Linked DNA regions of Neodiprion lecontei. The protein of the gene in region 3 interacts with the protein of the main gene of each other region in a pairwise test. Links are inferred from orthologs where the notes say so. Each region holds a gene or a part of one and is shown on either strand. Other genes may lie near its edges. The genes, in order: CREB-binding protein, importin subunit alpha-3 and transcriptional activator cubitus interruptus-like.

Evidence for each region.
Region 1: the proteins of transcriptional activator cubitus interruptus-like (region 3) and CREB-binding protein interact in a two-hybrid assay, tested with the Drosophila melanogaster proteins (3 studies listed by BioGRID). The link is inferred for Neodiprion lecontei from reciprocal best matches to the Drosophila melanogaster genes ci and nej.
Region 2: the proteins of transcriptional activator cubitus interruptus-like (region 3) and importin subunit alpha-3 interact in a two-hybrid assay, tested with the Drosophila melanogaster proteins (2 studies listed by BioGRID). The link is inferred for Neodiprion lecontei from reciprocal best matches to the Drosophila melanogaster genes ci and Kap-alpha3.

The regions. Positions count from the first base shown.
Region 1 is NC_060265.1:8,993,344-8,998,596, forward strand, and holds the start of CREB-binding protein, read left to right. Parts: upstream 1-1,657; 5' UTR 1,658-1,783; coding exon 1,784-1,925; intron 1,926-2,345; coding exon 2,346-2,660; intron 2,661-3,307; coding exon 3,308-3,631; intron 3,632-5,253.
Region 2 is NC_060261.1:35,296,486-35,301,738, forward strand, and holds the start of importin subunit alpha-3, read right to left. Parts: upstream 2,685-5,253; 5' UTR 2,458-2,684; coding exon 2,392-2,457; intron 2,018-2,391; coding exon 1,903-2,017; intron 1,530-1,902; coding exon 1,325-1,529; intron 709-1,324; coding exon 548-708; intron 474-547; coding exon 247-473; intron 124-246; coding exon 1-123. Other genes in the region: 2-oxoglutarate and iron-dependent oxygenase JMJD4, read left to right, coding at 2,949-3,183, 3,353-3,650, 3,725-3,998, 4,068-4,514.
Region 3 is NC_060260.1:7,976,825-7,982,077, forward strand, and holds the start of transcriptional activator cubitus interruptus-like, read left to right. Parts: upstream 1-2,212; 5' UTR 2,213-3,309; coding exon 3,310-3,584; intron 3,585-5,253. UniProt on the Drosophila melanogaster protein: Has a dual function as a transcriptional activator and a repressor of the hedgehog (Hh) pathway. The full-length ci form (ciFL), acts as an activator (ciA) while ciR, its C-terminally truncated form, acts as a repressor. Involved in segment polarity.

The DNA.
Region 1 (5,253 bases), on a different chromosome or scaffold from region 3:
AACCAACAATCAAATGTCAATTGCCAATTCAATGGGAGGGCTTCAGTCGTCGATGAGCATGACTGGAAGTAATGCTACAATGTCGATTCCGGGTGGAATGAATTCCGGACTTGTCATGACGAGCAGTGCCAGTGGGAACAATAATATGGGTGGAATGGCAGGAGGAGGTTTGATCGTGGCAAACAGTCTGAATAAGCAACCCTTAAATACCGTAAGCTCTTTTGCGACTTATTTCTTTACCCATACTACCTGTTTACATATTGTGTATATTCTACCCTAATACTAACGAACATATTTAACGGATGATTCTGGTACGGGTGAACTTAATTGTACATCAACTATCTAGCTTGTTGATACGAAAATATTTTTGTCCTACCAGAATTTCATTTCTGGGCCTGGTTTATAGCAATATATAAGCTTTGTTTCTGGACTACTGAGCTTTCAAATATACTGCTGATAACGTTACGCTTTTGGGAACCGTCATAAAGTACAGAAATACGATATAAAAATCATAGAAAAAAGTTATATATATTTATTTTCATCAAACGGGACGGAAGAGTGGTAAAGACGGTTACCCCTGGGAGAATTTTGTGACGGCTGGTGGGCCTGAGTGTGCCCGGAGATATAATGTAGAAATTTCCTGCAATTCTCGACTACACACTATAAGAAGCAGTTTTAAACCACCTGGTAACTACAGTCAACTCCCATACCCCAGGACCGCCAACACGCAATTTCATATGACACATAAAACTCAGTCAGGGTAACTGTCTTTACAGACTACTGTCGCCGTGTTAGACAGCTCATTCTTGCAACGATTGTGCGAATCTTCAAAAAATCAAATATTTTTATGACTAGTACAAGATTCAACATTTCTATTAAAGGACACAATTAATTTATTAACTATTTCTATTCCAATGATTTCATTTCATTAAAATTTATCACATGTGACCAACTTTCCAAACAATCTGTATCTATGCTGTACGTCTACATGTACTATGATTGATAAAGATACGCATGTCCACAGATTAGTTTGCAAGTGGATATATCGATTAGGTATAATAAAATACGTTTGTCGATAACATGCGCTCTATGATTGTGTCAAAGCAGTCCATTCTCCAACTATTACAGAAAAAAATTCCGAGGACTATAAACCAGTTAAAGTCTTATAACTTGAACGCACCCCTTCATGTGGCTCCTTTCTTCTTTCTTGCTGTCATACAAATCTAGTCAATGGGGATTCTATATTCTTTTATCCTAATTGCAGTACCAAACACATTCGGCATTGAAATATAATATTTTCTGTTTTTACATTTGACGGATCAGAGTTTCGTCATTTCATGATTGTGAAAATAAAGTGCCGATTAGCATGCTTCTTAATAATGTCAACCTTTTTTAGGTAACAATGATTGGCTCAAATGCTCAAGGCATACATCACTCTGCTGGACCTCATGGTGTAGGCCAAATGCCAAATGGTCCAGCTGGAATGATGACTGCTAGGGCTGTTGTTATGCAGCAGCAACAACAACAACAACAACAACAGCAACAGCAACAAGTGCAGCAGCAACAACAGCAGCAACAAGCACAGCAGCAACAGCAGCAGGCGCAACAGCAGCAGCAGCAGCAGCAGCAGCAACAACAACAACAACAACAACAACAACAACAACAACAACAACAACAACAACAACAGCAACAACAACAACAGCAGCAGCAGCAACAACAACAACAACAGCAACAACAGCAGCAGCAGCAGCAACAACAGCAGCAGCAACAGCAGCAAGCTCATATGGTAGGCTCAGCAAGGGGCCAGAGTCCTCACCAACAAGTGCACCAAGGAGGAATGGTTGGACCTAGAATGCCAGCTCCACCAAACATGGCAAATATGTCGAATATGGGACAAATGGGTGCTTCGAGTCCGTATGGTTATGGTAAGTAAAATTCATAGATCTTGTTCTTCATGTACTTGCAATATATAAATAAGAATTGTATACTGACTCATAGATAACTCAGCATCTCTGCTGATCTTTAATATGGAATACACAAATACTTTGAAAGATAACTTACTTCCTCAAAGCTTTGAAGATTTTTTCATTATCGATGATGACAGAAATGGTCAAATTTGTTCTGCTGACTTTTCGCTTGTAGGAAAAAAAATTTCAAAGTTAATTATATCGAGTCATTTTGTGTTTGTCTAAATGTACTTGTTATAGTTTTGAGGGTTATTGAAGCTGGAAAATTTGGTGAATTCAGCCAGCCAATGCAACAGTTTGATTTAAAAAAAATAATAATTTACCACAAATTTGTTTCAAACGTGCATATAAATTCATTTTTCTTTTCTGATTTACAAGTAAAATGTTCATCAGGGTCTCCAGGTGGTGCACCAGCTCCAAGTGTCGGGACCAATAACCCAGTTGCTGTTGTTGCTCCTCAACAAAGACCGGCAGGGGCAAATATGAACGCCATGCAAGTTGCCAGATTTGGTGGTCCGGCTGGACCTATTGGACCAGGAAATATTGTTGGCGGCCAGGAAGGTGGGATGGCTCAACAAGCACAACCACCAGCACCAAGTCCGGCGCAGCCACAGTCAGGTGCACCAAGTGGAGGGCAACCCGGTCCTCAACAAGCAACACAGGGCCAAATGCCTGGCAGCGGTCCCCAACGAGGTTTGTTTTAATAATCAGAGTCCAAAAATTCAGTTTTCCTCAATTTTCAGAAACTGGAATGAAACTCTTCACTGGTGACATTTTGTTTCTTAAATTGTATACCGATTACTTCCTGTTAGCGTTTAAATATAAATTCTTAATGTCAATATCAGTGATTGGATTGTAAATGTAAAAAAAATTTTTATTATTAAGTTAATATTGTGAATATTCACTGAGCAAATCGAACTTTACACATTTCTTTCTCTTCTGGGTAATGAAATCATTTCACACTTTGGGAAATGATAGTGTTTATAAATTTGCTCGTGTGGTCATTGGAAAAGATTTGGAAAGTTGACGAAAACACCACAAATATACTTTCAGCTAATTGTTATTTACTTTTAGGTTATCGCACGCTACTAATATCGGAATCTCCATATTTTTACATTTACTATTTATTATCCATACTGTTCTAACTTATCACACAAATGCAATCGTGAACCCTGTAATTTTCCAATGTTTGAAACACTTTTGTTGCTTCACAGAAGAAAAATCGTGCAAAATGCTGATTGAATTTGTTGTAAAACTTGACAGTTCGACAGCCCCTTGACATCATTCAAATGAAACTATAGAGTTGAAAAAAAATGAACAATTTGCTGAACTTTTCGCAGGTGCTCCTCCGTCGACAGCTGATCCTGAAAAGAGAAAATTGATTCAGCAACAACTGGTCTTGCTATTACACGCGCACAAATGCCAGAGGCGAGAGAGTCAGGCTAATGGAGAAGTGTGTCAGTGCACATTGCCACATTGTAAAACTATGAAGAATGTTCTGAATCACATGACGACATGCGCAGCTGGGAAGACTTGTTCTGTACCACATTGCAGCTCGTCTAGGCAAATAATAAGCCATTGGAAACACTGTGAACGAAGCGACTGTCCTGTCTGCTTACCTCTAAAGCAGGCGGATAAAAACAGGCATCCAAACGCTGCTGGTGGTAAGAACTTTATTTCAAACTATATTGTTGACTTAAAAAGGAGCATGGGTCTTCATTTTACATATCGTTCTCTTTTGCGACTATTGTTTTAAATAAAATATGTTCATGATTCGCATAAGACGGAACTGCATCTAAATCAGAACAATTGAAACACATCTTTTTTTTTAACCAGGATAATTTGAATAACTGAAACAGCCTGATGAATTCATAGGGTTGTTACAAACCTGGACACCTATCATAACACCCAGGCTAATTTTTGATTATTGGAACACTTAGGTTATTTACTAGATATTTTTATTGGATAACGTTTGGTATGAGAATTTACCTTATATTATCAATTACGGGTAATTTTGGATTTTACTAAAACTTTGAAGTGCAGTTTGAGGTACTAGATTTTTACCTTCACTCAATATGTTTCGTTAGGAATCAAGCTTTTCATTGTTAATGATTTGATGTCTATTAAGTAAAATATAGTAACAGGATACATTTTTCTCTCAACATTCTCTATTAAAAGGACATTTCAGCCGTTGGAATCTTGAAAAATTAGGGAATTTTGGAAGTGAAAATTTGTAACAACCCTGAATAAACACCCGTAACAGTCAGAATTACTTTTAAACTCAGTATTAGCTGTTCAGGATCTAAATGTGAGGAGTTTTGTTCATGGGGTACGCACTAAATGTCTTAATTTCCGACCAATTTCCGATGATTGATTACTCGTATTCATGTTCTCAAACTGGTCTCTAAAGTTCTGTGAAAGATTCGGCAGAACCGCGATTATTAATGCTCATTTCTTACTATTTTCATTCATTTCTATTGAGAAAATTTGAGTTGGTATGTGAAAGACATAGAGTGGGCTTATTTATTAGATTTATCAATTTGTTGTTTTAAGCCCGCTAGAGTCTGAAGGTGCATTTACATTCAAAGTAATTCTACCATAAGGTGGAGGAGGGAAAAGTACAAGTTTTGGAAATAATATTTTTGTTTCCTTGAATGTTAGATTTATGGTCCCATTTGCAAGAAGAATCGAGCAACGAAAACTGGGTAGTCGAACATGCTGTGTGCCCTGAAAGTGAACGAAACAGATTTGATAAGCGGCGGGCCCAACATAATATCTGTGTGTTGATTAAAGGTTATCCCAAAAATTATGCATAGGTATCCCTGCACTTTCTACTTTTAAATACTTGTTTACAATGTCTTGTCCCCCTCACGTGGTTGCTCAAAAAGTGTAATTTCGTTTTTTCGTTAAAAATAAAGGAATGATTGAACTTTGCTTCATTAAAAAAGAAAGAATCTAGTTTCACTGAGCCAACGACAATGATTATCATTCCCAATGGCCAATTTATATTTCAATAAAGTGGTATGTGAAAGTTTACGAGAACTTTTGAATCGTACCAAAGCATTACATCCAAAGTATGCTACGTGTAGTTCAGGAACACATCGAATTTTCCATTCAGTTTTTAGTGAGGGAATTTTACGTCGTGAATGATATTCCTTGCTCTATGGTATTGTTTGCTAATATTATAATACTGAGAGCTGATAATTTGAGTCAGATTGTAATATCTGTTTGCTTTGTGAAGATTGTTATTTACTAAGGCAGGTAAAACTCATACAAATATTTTGAA
Region 2 (5,253 bases), on a different chromosome or scaffold from region 3:
GACCTCTTTGTGAGAGAGCAGAGGAATTAGACGAGGTACGACTCCGCTGTCTATGACCATTTGAATCTGTTCATTTCCACCATCAGTCAAATAACTCAGAGCCCACACTGTGTCAACGAGAATCTATGGGAAAAACAAAAGCCAAATGTTGATCCAGTCTTTGATAGATTATCAAAAGTTGAAACTGCACAACCTGAGATTCGTTAGGGAAGAATAACGTGATACTGGACATGACGATCTACTCACATTAATGTCCGTGTGTAGAATAAGTACATTAAGTGCTGGTAAAATGTCTTTAATTGTCCCTACTGGTGGAGGGGGATCTTTGTTTCTACACAAGTTGACTATCACCCACGTAACGTTCCGCAAGAAGGTGATAGGTATATCTGGCTTAATGAAAGTTAAAAGCGGTGGCACAACGCCAAGGTTTATTACATAATCTCGCAGCGCTGGCCCATCCCCTATAATATTTCCTAGGGACAAATAATAAATTCGATAAAACAATTTATAAAAATTACGTAAACCACAGCATGGTTAGATTCCTTACCTAGAGCCCATACTGCTTGTTCACAGACATTTTGCTGGCTGGACAATAAAAGATGTAAAAATAATGGCACTGCACCAGCTTTAACAACTGCCTGTGTCTGAGCAGATGTTCCGCTTGCAATGTTCGTCAATGCCCATGCTGCTTCAAACTGCAAGGATGGACTGAAAAATAATAGTACATTATTTGACAAGTGCGTAAATAGGCAATAACCAAACGAGTGTGGCTAGCAGCACAAGGGCAAGTACTGCAATCACACGAGTCAGGTATTGCTTGTCGACACGTGTCACATGTCATATTTTTTGTAATACCTGCAGGGAAAGTTTGATTTAAAAAGTAACGAAAGTGACACTGACATTTCGGCTAGGTAACTTGCGCTCAATGAAGCAGTCACAGATAGTGCATAAAATTGATTTATTTGTAAATGTGTATGCGCCAAAAATCCATAGCATGAAAAGTAGAAGCTTTCAAATGTGCATGTACACCCACTTTTTATTTGCATTGTTCAGAAAAAATATTTTACCCACGCTCTACAATCTGAAAATCCAGCTTTCTGAGCAGGTGTTGCAAGAATAATGCTGTATGTATCATACTGCTTCTCATGTTATAAAATAATAGAGAAATATTCATTGATGAAATATAACAAAAAAGGAATACTATTACTCCTAATTGGTTTTTTATTGATGTGTTTTAAAGTAACCGTGTGAATATGCACTCATGTTGTATGCATAAAATATGTATTCACAACGTTGATTTAAAGACATCGGTATTTCAACTTACTGGTCATGTCGTTCAAGACAGTGTACCAAAATTGGCAGGATTCCGCTATCAATCAAGGCGTCTATTGGAGGATTACGATCTGAAGACAGTAATTTTCGTGCAGATTGGACGGCAATCAACTGCTCGGCGGATTCAGCGCTCCCTGCTTTGGCTACCAGTTCACCCAAATCGATCTTTGCCAAATTTTTCTCCACATCTTCTTCATCTAATTAACCAATTTATTATTCAATTGAATATCTAGACATAATGCTCTTGTAACGCATGAACTTTATAATAAAATGAGAAAGAACGTCATGTTACAGAGCAATTGATTCATCAAGTATACCAAATATTCGTCGTAGATTATAAAATGAGATGACTAGATTAATTTTTCTATTTATTATATCTTTATTATATATTATTCTATGATTGAGAACTAGAGTTTGTCTACCTAAAAATACTAGATTTGCAACTACATGAGGAATAAATCCCTCCAATATTGCTTATACCTCCCAATTACGATTCAACAATAAGTAAGGTATTCACGAAACTGATACAAGTAGCCCAAACTAATAACATTCTATCAGACGTCACCTTACCCGTGGAATCTGTAATTGGTACGTTTCTCCGTTTCTGTAGCGTTTCTTCACGTTTATTCTTCCGGAGCTCTACGGTGACTTCATTCCTTCTCCTGCGCATCTCCTGAAATAACTTCTTATTAAGAAGAAACAATACCTCAGTACGGATATGGTATTCATATTTTTTTCACAATTTTTTTTTTCCGTTACTGCCCAAGGCATGCTTATTCGAAATGAAAAAAATTTCATATCCGAATTTTCGCGTGCCATCGTATCGACGGAACAGAACGTGAAAATGATTCCTTGAAAATTTCTTAAAAATGATCCAATTGTGAGGTGTATATAGGTGAGTCACTGATTAAATGGTTAAAATACCAAACATGACTGAAGGTTTGAAGAGTCCGTGGTATCAATGTATTAAAATCGTGTGGCAGGGACAGAGAATTTTTAGTAAAATAAATACAACGCTATACTAAGAGAAGATTATCTACTCGTAATACGGATACTTACGTCTTGATCTTTTCCTTTGTTCTTGAAAACTTGCATTCGGTTCTTATTTAGTGGATCAGACGCCATTTTTGCGATAACCAATGTTCGTCCTAGCGTAGATGCGATGTGCCGGTTTCACAGAGACACTATGTTCAGAAATTTCCTCGTTAACAAACCTATTTCACAATCTATTTTAACTACTGCATTCCGTAGCGTGATTAATTAAAATACTCGAATATGCACTACCATGCATAACAGATTTCGTTTCGGCTATTCACGCGAATAAAGTCACGTTTCTCTCAACAAATACAGCTTTTTCACCTCTGGGAAAAACGAGAAGAATCAAGAAGACGGTGTTCCGAAATTATACAAAGTTACCACACAGGCTGACCACCTCGAAGTTGACGAACATCAAAACGCTTTAACCATGAACCTATTAGAGGCGCTTGCGTACTCTTGCATTTCGATTCTACGGATTTTACTATCGTGGTTCCACTCTAGATCGATATAAAGTAGTTTCATCCGATTCATCCGAAAAGAGAGAACCTAACCTAAAATAAATTTACAGTAAACGCGGAATGACCAAAGTTATAGATATTTCTAACGATTACGCATACCACGAATTCGGAACATCAGTCGAAAATAACGTCACTGGATATGTCAATCACTCTTTATCGTACAATGAATATTTTAGAAGATATTTACAGAACAATATTCCCTGCGTGATCCAATCTGCCACGGATGCATGGCCGTGCAGACAAATGTGGCAAGCAGACAACGCGCCAAATTTCGAATACATCAAAAGAGTATTCGGTGAGAGCTACGCACTCAATAATATTCACCACTAAACATGAAACTAGAGTTTAGACTGTTTCGAAATTGATCCATTTTGAATGAAGAAAAAATCATGGAATAGAATATCGTAATGAATTCATTTCCCAATTACAAACATACTTGTGAAGTAAGCAAAATTTTCTCGTAGGATCTTGTATTGCACCTGTGGCTGACTGTACAGCAAAATACTACAATTCCCAACTGAAGGATGATATGGCATTGGCTGATTATGTCGACTATTGGATCACATATCGTGACCTTAGTGATCCAAAAAATATGCCTTTACTATATCTAAAGGACTGGCATTGCGTAAAAAATAATCCACATATCCCAATCTATAATGTTCCCCAGTATTTTGCCTCTGATTGGTTAAACGAATATTACACAGAACAGGAAGAATTAAATGACGATTATATGTTTATCTACATGGGTCCAAAAGGAACATGGTATAGCTACAATTATGTTAAAATGAGCAATTCTATTTGTTGATAGAATTCTTATTGCTTTCGTGTACTTTTAGGACACCATTTCATGCAGATGTCTTCTCATCCTATAGCTGGTCAGCTAATATAGTTGGAAAAAAACGCTGGCTTCTCTTTGCACCTGGGGACGAAGAGAGTCTGCGAGATAAGCATGGGAAATTAATCTATGACATAACAACTTCCAATGAGTTGTTGAATCAAACAATGTATCCAAATTATGATGAAGATAGACTCAAACGTTATGAAATTATTCAACAACCTGGTGAAATAGTATTCATTCCATCTGGGTGGCATCATCAAGTTTGGAATTTGGTACTAATTTTCAGTACTGTAAGCACCAGGTTATAACTAAATGCTGATTAAATAAATGCATTTTTTTAGGAAGACACTATTTCTATCAATCATAATTGGATCAATGCTTGCAATGTTTGGAATGTATGGATTTCCTTAAAAAAAGAACTTTGTGCTGTGATGAGAGAAGTTGAAGACTGTCGTGATATGGATGGTTGGGATGATCACTGTCAATTAATGTTGAAAGCTTCACATGGCATGGACTATGTACAATTCTACAAGTTCCTCTCATTCCTATCGAAGAAACGTATGGCTCTGATCATGAAGGATACTCCTGTGATTAGTTTTCACACTTGGTATTTGGGAAGAAATCATTGCTTTTACGATCTGAAACAAATTAGGCTGGTGTTAGATGATATGATTAGAGATGTTGAAGAAAAGTGCATACACTCTCTAATTTTTAGTGAAAATGAAGCAAGATTTCTTGTCGATGAAATAAATAAAATCTTAGCTGTAAATCCATCATTTGGAGATTAACTTTGTACTAGGAAATTAAACACTGTAAATTGATCGTTATATTTTTTCAAATAAATGTACTAATACTTTAAAATGTTTCATTGTGTTTCCAGTTTTTATTAGTACAAAACTCTTGCCGCATTTTAATTTATACAATGTGTTTATATTATGCAGTATTGTGGTCACATTGTGGATAGTGGTGAATACATTATCAATTTTTTGTTGTGTAAGCATTTGTGGTATTTTTTGTTGTTCATTATTTTGTACCTTGATAAACATTCTATAGAATTTAGGATTAAACGATACATAATTATTTTCGTATGTCTATAACTAAGACAAATTTATTTAAATCTATTTATATAACATCCTTACTCATAATGTCTTACAAAATATTCAAATTATTTCAGAATTATTGATAGTTATCGTTCTCAATTATGTGTTTGTTTATGGTGAGTTTGTATTTACAATGCAATTTACTTTATTTTAACCTCTACTACTGCACAGTAGATTTGCTCTGTATCGAATCATGGATTTTTATATTTTTATAATTTCAGATCAACTTTTTATATTGTGAAGATGACGAAAATGATGATGTTCATATGAAATGAACTCAATTTAATAATATATGCGAATCACCCCAATAATAAAAATAATAACCATTCAATAGAAAGTCCGATAGAGCTTTCAAGACGATCTTTGAAAATGATTGGTGTTAGAATAATGAATTTAGACGAATGTAATCAAGTATACTTTGAGAAAA
Region 3 (5,253 bases):
AGAACATACAGTAAGCCTGGCACGAAGACGTGTGTAAGTATAAAGGATACAATATACGCCCATAGTCGCTTATATGTTCACCCCGAAGAAGAGGCACCTGCGCCACATGCATACGTAGTTAGTTACCTATACATTAATACAACGAGTCCATACAAACCGATCCACGATACAAACTCGTACCTCTAATACCTATACAGAGCTCATAGCATAAACCGCGTCGGATACCGCTTTTTGCTCCATCTTGGCATGGAGAGAGAGAGTCATGGGGGGGAAACGCGGCGAAAGGGCGGCCGTCGAGGGGCCGGATTGGCGGCCCTCCCCCCTTCAACCGCGCCTCCGCCCCGCCAGATCGCGGTTACCTGCGGCTGCGACTTGGTGGGTACGCCGCATGAAGAGCCCCGTGAGCACCTATATACTCACACCTCGTACATCGGCGGTCTGTGCAGAAGGGGGGTAAAAGAGAGGACGGGATAGGAGAAGGATGGAGAGAGACAGAGAGAGAGAAAGAGAAAGAGAGAGAGAGAGAGAGAGAGAGAGAGAGAGAGAGAGAGAAACCGAGCGCTGCAGGTGGAGGCGGCCGCGTCACCCGCCCGTCCGCGGATTCGATTGAATCATTACGATGCGGTAGGTGGTTGCGTGGGTAACGGTGAGCAGCGGCGCCGAGAAGAGTTCTGCACCCTCGATTTCAGGATCTAATGACTCTATTCCGTTGATACGTACGGCGGTGCTCCGTTTCCGTACGATGTATCCTATCACCGGTTAGGTATGATACGTTTCGATGGTTCGGATCAGGATGTGGAGAGTTAAAGGTAAGGAGAAGTATCTCATATGGATATTCGAATGAGAAAGTGTTCGCCGATAAGCAGGAAGTAGGGTTTCAACGAGACACCGGAACGGTGCTCGTGAGGAATAAGGGAATCAATCCGATTGGAGCTTTGTGGAGCTTTCGCTGCAGCAACGCCATCCTAATTTCTCTCTACTTTACGGAACACTTTCCGCACACTGGAGATAGTCCTCCTTACCTCTACCCTCGATAGATTAGGGAAAGAGGGTTCACGTCGAGGGGCGGAAGGGACTGCGAAATTCAACTCTTGTGAAAACAGAAAGCGTCCTGCCGTATAAGCAGGATGACAACTCGCCCGTGTCTCTGCGGCTGTAACCTATACACGAGAAAGGAAAATTGGAGGAGAGAAAAAAAATAATAGGCGAAATAACGTGGAGACATCACCAGGGATCACCGGAAGTTGTTTCAACTCAACACCGAATTGGGACTTCGGCTCCGGTGGCATGTGGCAATAAATACCTATACTTGAGCGCGTCGGCGCGGAAAGGAGCGAACTCGGGACTAGTTCTCTCATTCCTCTATCTTGTAGGTCCCTCGAGTTTCCCGATCACCCCAATTGAGAGCTGACGGCACATCCGCTAAATTTCTTGACTTTTTACCATTATCATTATTACTGCACTTCTCGCCGTGTAACGCAACACCCCAAAGTTGGGGAACGTAGAGACAAATTCCTGGAGTGAAAAGTGAAATTCGTCCGACTCAATATCGACGATATCATTTTCCAGCTCCCGCCCCACGTTTTCATTCAAGACTCACCTATCTTACAAACTCACCGCAATTGCGCACGCAGGTTGTATAACGAAGGCTGTGCAGATCACTTTCACAAACGCAACGACACCACCTCGGTTATCTTCGTTTCTCCTCTCTTTCCTCCTCTTCCTCCCCCGCTATAGAAGAGGGAACGACGACACCCCACCTCGTCCACCTCGTCACGCGAAGAAGAAGAAGAGGAAGAAGAAGAGTAAGAAGAAGAAGAGTTCTCTTCTTCCGTCTTTGTCCCGCTGGAGAAGGACGGCGGGGAGGAGCGGTTGGGCTGTTGCAGCGCGAGGCTGGTGCTAGTTGAGTTGTCGAGCTGACACGCGCTTTCAGCCCTCTCCTCTCCTCTCTCCTCTCTTCGCTCTTCTCTCCTCTCCTCTCCTCTCGACTCCTCTCCTCCCTCCTACGCGCCACCACTCTCGGACAACTCTGCTCTCCTCGTCGCGCTACCCCTGGCTATTCCTCTCTCCCTCGCTCTTATTTTCAGTTTTCTCTCATCTTCTCACTCGCACAGCACCACCAGGCAGGCGGTGCCGCCGCCGAGAACGAGTGCCGGGAATGCCTGGCCGCCCCTCTCTTCGCATCGCCGAGGACTCAGTACCGCCATACCCGTCAAAGCGTAAGGAGCGCGACATCACGTGGAACTACAAACACGTTGTTTCTCTACACCCACGATATCGCATCGCACCGTACTCAAGACCCAGTATTTCCATCGAATTCGACCACGAGTCCCTTCGCTCCTTATCATATTCCAACGGCAATTTGGATTTCTTTTCTTTTTCGGCTTTTCCGCAAGTGTGCGAATTCGGACTGTCGCTGTCACTTCGAGTGTCTCGTTTAAACCGCGGCGTGTTTAAAATAAAGAGATAAAACTTGCTGTCGGTCGAGTTTATCTCAACGTATGAGAAAAACAACACAAAACGTGCAAGATGAAGAAGGATTGACGTGAAGGATGTGCGGCAACCAAACCGATAACACAGTGATTAATACTTAGCCGCAAAAAGTGATCGAAATAAAAAGAATTCATCTGTAACTGGGGGGTGTGAAGTTTGAGTGGATTTTTTACGATTCGTCGAGAAATATACTGGAGGAAAGTAAATGAAAAATGCAAATAATGTAACCGCGTGGTTTAAATTAAGCCGTATGCGAACGTCACCCCGTGTGTGAAATTCTGCGTTGCAATCGAGAAAGAGAGAGAGAAAGCGAGAGAGAGGGGAAGAAAAAAAACACTAGTGCGGTAAAAAAGTTGACTCGCAATCAGGATTAGTTCGGGTAAAGAGTCCAGCTCAGGGGATCGGATCGGTAAGAATGTCAGCGAAGAACGAGGACCCGAATCAGGGTTAGGGACCGTCGGGGCCCATCGGCGACCAGCAACCGTCGATATCCTGGGCCGGGATACGCGAGAACTAAACCGCAACCACCGACGAAGAACCCGGACGATAAGCGACGGCCATGCGGATCAGGGTGAAACTGACGTCGAGTACAATAAAGGACCTGCAGAAATCGTCGCCGCGACGAACCCGGGATATTTAGGCGGCCCCCTCGACTCGGATCGCGGGTTCCACCTACGGCTGGAAGACCGACGTCGGTGTCCGAGCGACGCCGACTTCCTCGAGCACATCGGTTACGGGGCGAACTTCCGGGCAGCCAGGAACAGGGCGTTGACAACCCGGGAGATAGAGCTGGAGGTTGAACTCGAGGCGGCCAAGATGCCCGAGAAGGAAGTCGCCTACCATCAAGAGACCTTCTCCCTTTTGCCACCGCCACCGCCCCCGCCCCACCACCACCATCACCACTCGGCTTTTCACGCCGCGTTTCACCCCCACGGACATCCACCGCCGCCCTTTCACCCCCATCATGGACCGACGGCTCATCACCCCGCCGCAGCTGCCGCAGCCGCAGCCGCAGCCGCCGCATGGGAGCACCACGCCGCAGCGGCGGCCGCAGCAGCAGCCGCGTTTCACGCACCGCCTCCGCACCATCCGTAAGTCCCAGTTTTCGATCCTTCTTCAATCGCAGTCCGCGGATAATGTTTGAGAACCGCCGATTGTTTGCACTCTTCGCCAGATTTATGCATACCTAACCTTCGCTTATATCTGCACGGAACGTTTTTAGACAGACCACGATACGTATTCCGGAAGTTTTGACCGATCAAGCTTGAGCAAAGACTCAAATTGTCACGGATACCGGGTTCCAGTAATCGTCAATGAATGGTTGAGATTGAGTGGTACGAATCGTTTACCACTTCATGCGCGTCAGGTTTCAATGATCCATCACGAACCGATTACTCAAGCTTGGTGATACAGTAAGGATTTGAGTTTGCAATAAAACTTGATAGATATTATAGAAACGTTAACTTCGTGCACAGAATCCGATTCCTTACTAACACATTGCCCAAACACGTCGACCAAAACTGCTAAATGTAGAACAAGCGAAACCAAGAAATCGGTGAGACAGAAAAGTGCTTATCACGTCGAAGAGAGAATCAACGCGATAATGAATCTTCGGTTATTATATATAGAACATACAAGACTGATTTCTCTGACAGATATGATGGGGTGCAATATGACGGAGAATGAAAAAGAAATATTGTACGCGTTGAAAGTTTGTCAAGGTTTCAAATGGAGTTAAGCTAATTGCCGCGTATATCTCCCAACATTGTTTTCCTTCTTCTTCCACCGCGCAGTAACATTAGACTATCACTGCACTTATCATTACCTACCTATATAGTAACGTTTGACGGAATCGTTCGTTAGGCTCTGCTGTTCGTAACACGCGGCACCCGAGAGTACACAGACTAAACACGATTCGAGTCCCCCGATCTTCATAGTTGGAGATTACCGCGAGCCGCGGCATCGAGTTGCAAAAAGATATAACGCGATTATACAACTAACGGCGTTCCGAGTTGATATCGGGGTATATATATAGTAGTTTGATATTATAAAATACAAACAACGCACACGGACGGACTCTCGATGAATCGGGCGCGGTATCAGTGCCGGAAAAGAATAAAGAGGCCGATGTATATTTTTGGCAATCTAAAACCTCGCGTGTTCCCATCATCATCATCATTATCATCATCATCATCATCATCATCATCATCATCATCGTCGTCATCGTCGTCTTCGTTCCTCCGTTCACTCTTTGTCGGGAAAGAGAGACCTTGCGCGGATCTTTGTTTTGTTATGTAGATTAGCGCAGGTATAAAGGTATATAAGCCAAAAGCAATTCACCTTGCTGAAAGATGAAAAGAAATTTTTCATGGATTCTTTTCAGAACAGATGGGGGATATTCGAGTTCATTATATCGATAGAACGTCAATCTTCGGGGGGGCATATGCACAACCTGCGACCAGCAGTTGCGTGCATCGCAGGACACTACACGATATACGTACCAATAATATACATGATAAAACTGATTGCCGCGCTCGTTCATATAGGTGATCACCTATACACACATACCTGCTTTATAATTGTGCAGTAAAATTAACCGCCTATCTCAAGTTGATACTCAGATAACAACGGCACCTCGGTAACCCTTGCATTCCATTCTTGTCACTGCGGTGTTGCTACCGAGTGCCTGCACTTGCGGCAAGCACTCACCACGGTGCGTGCAACATTGTCACAGTACCGCACCACCAACTGCGACTGGTT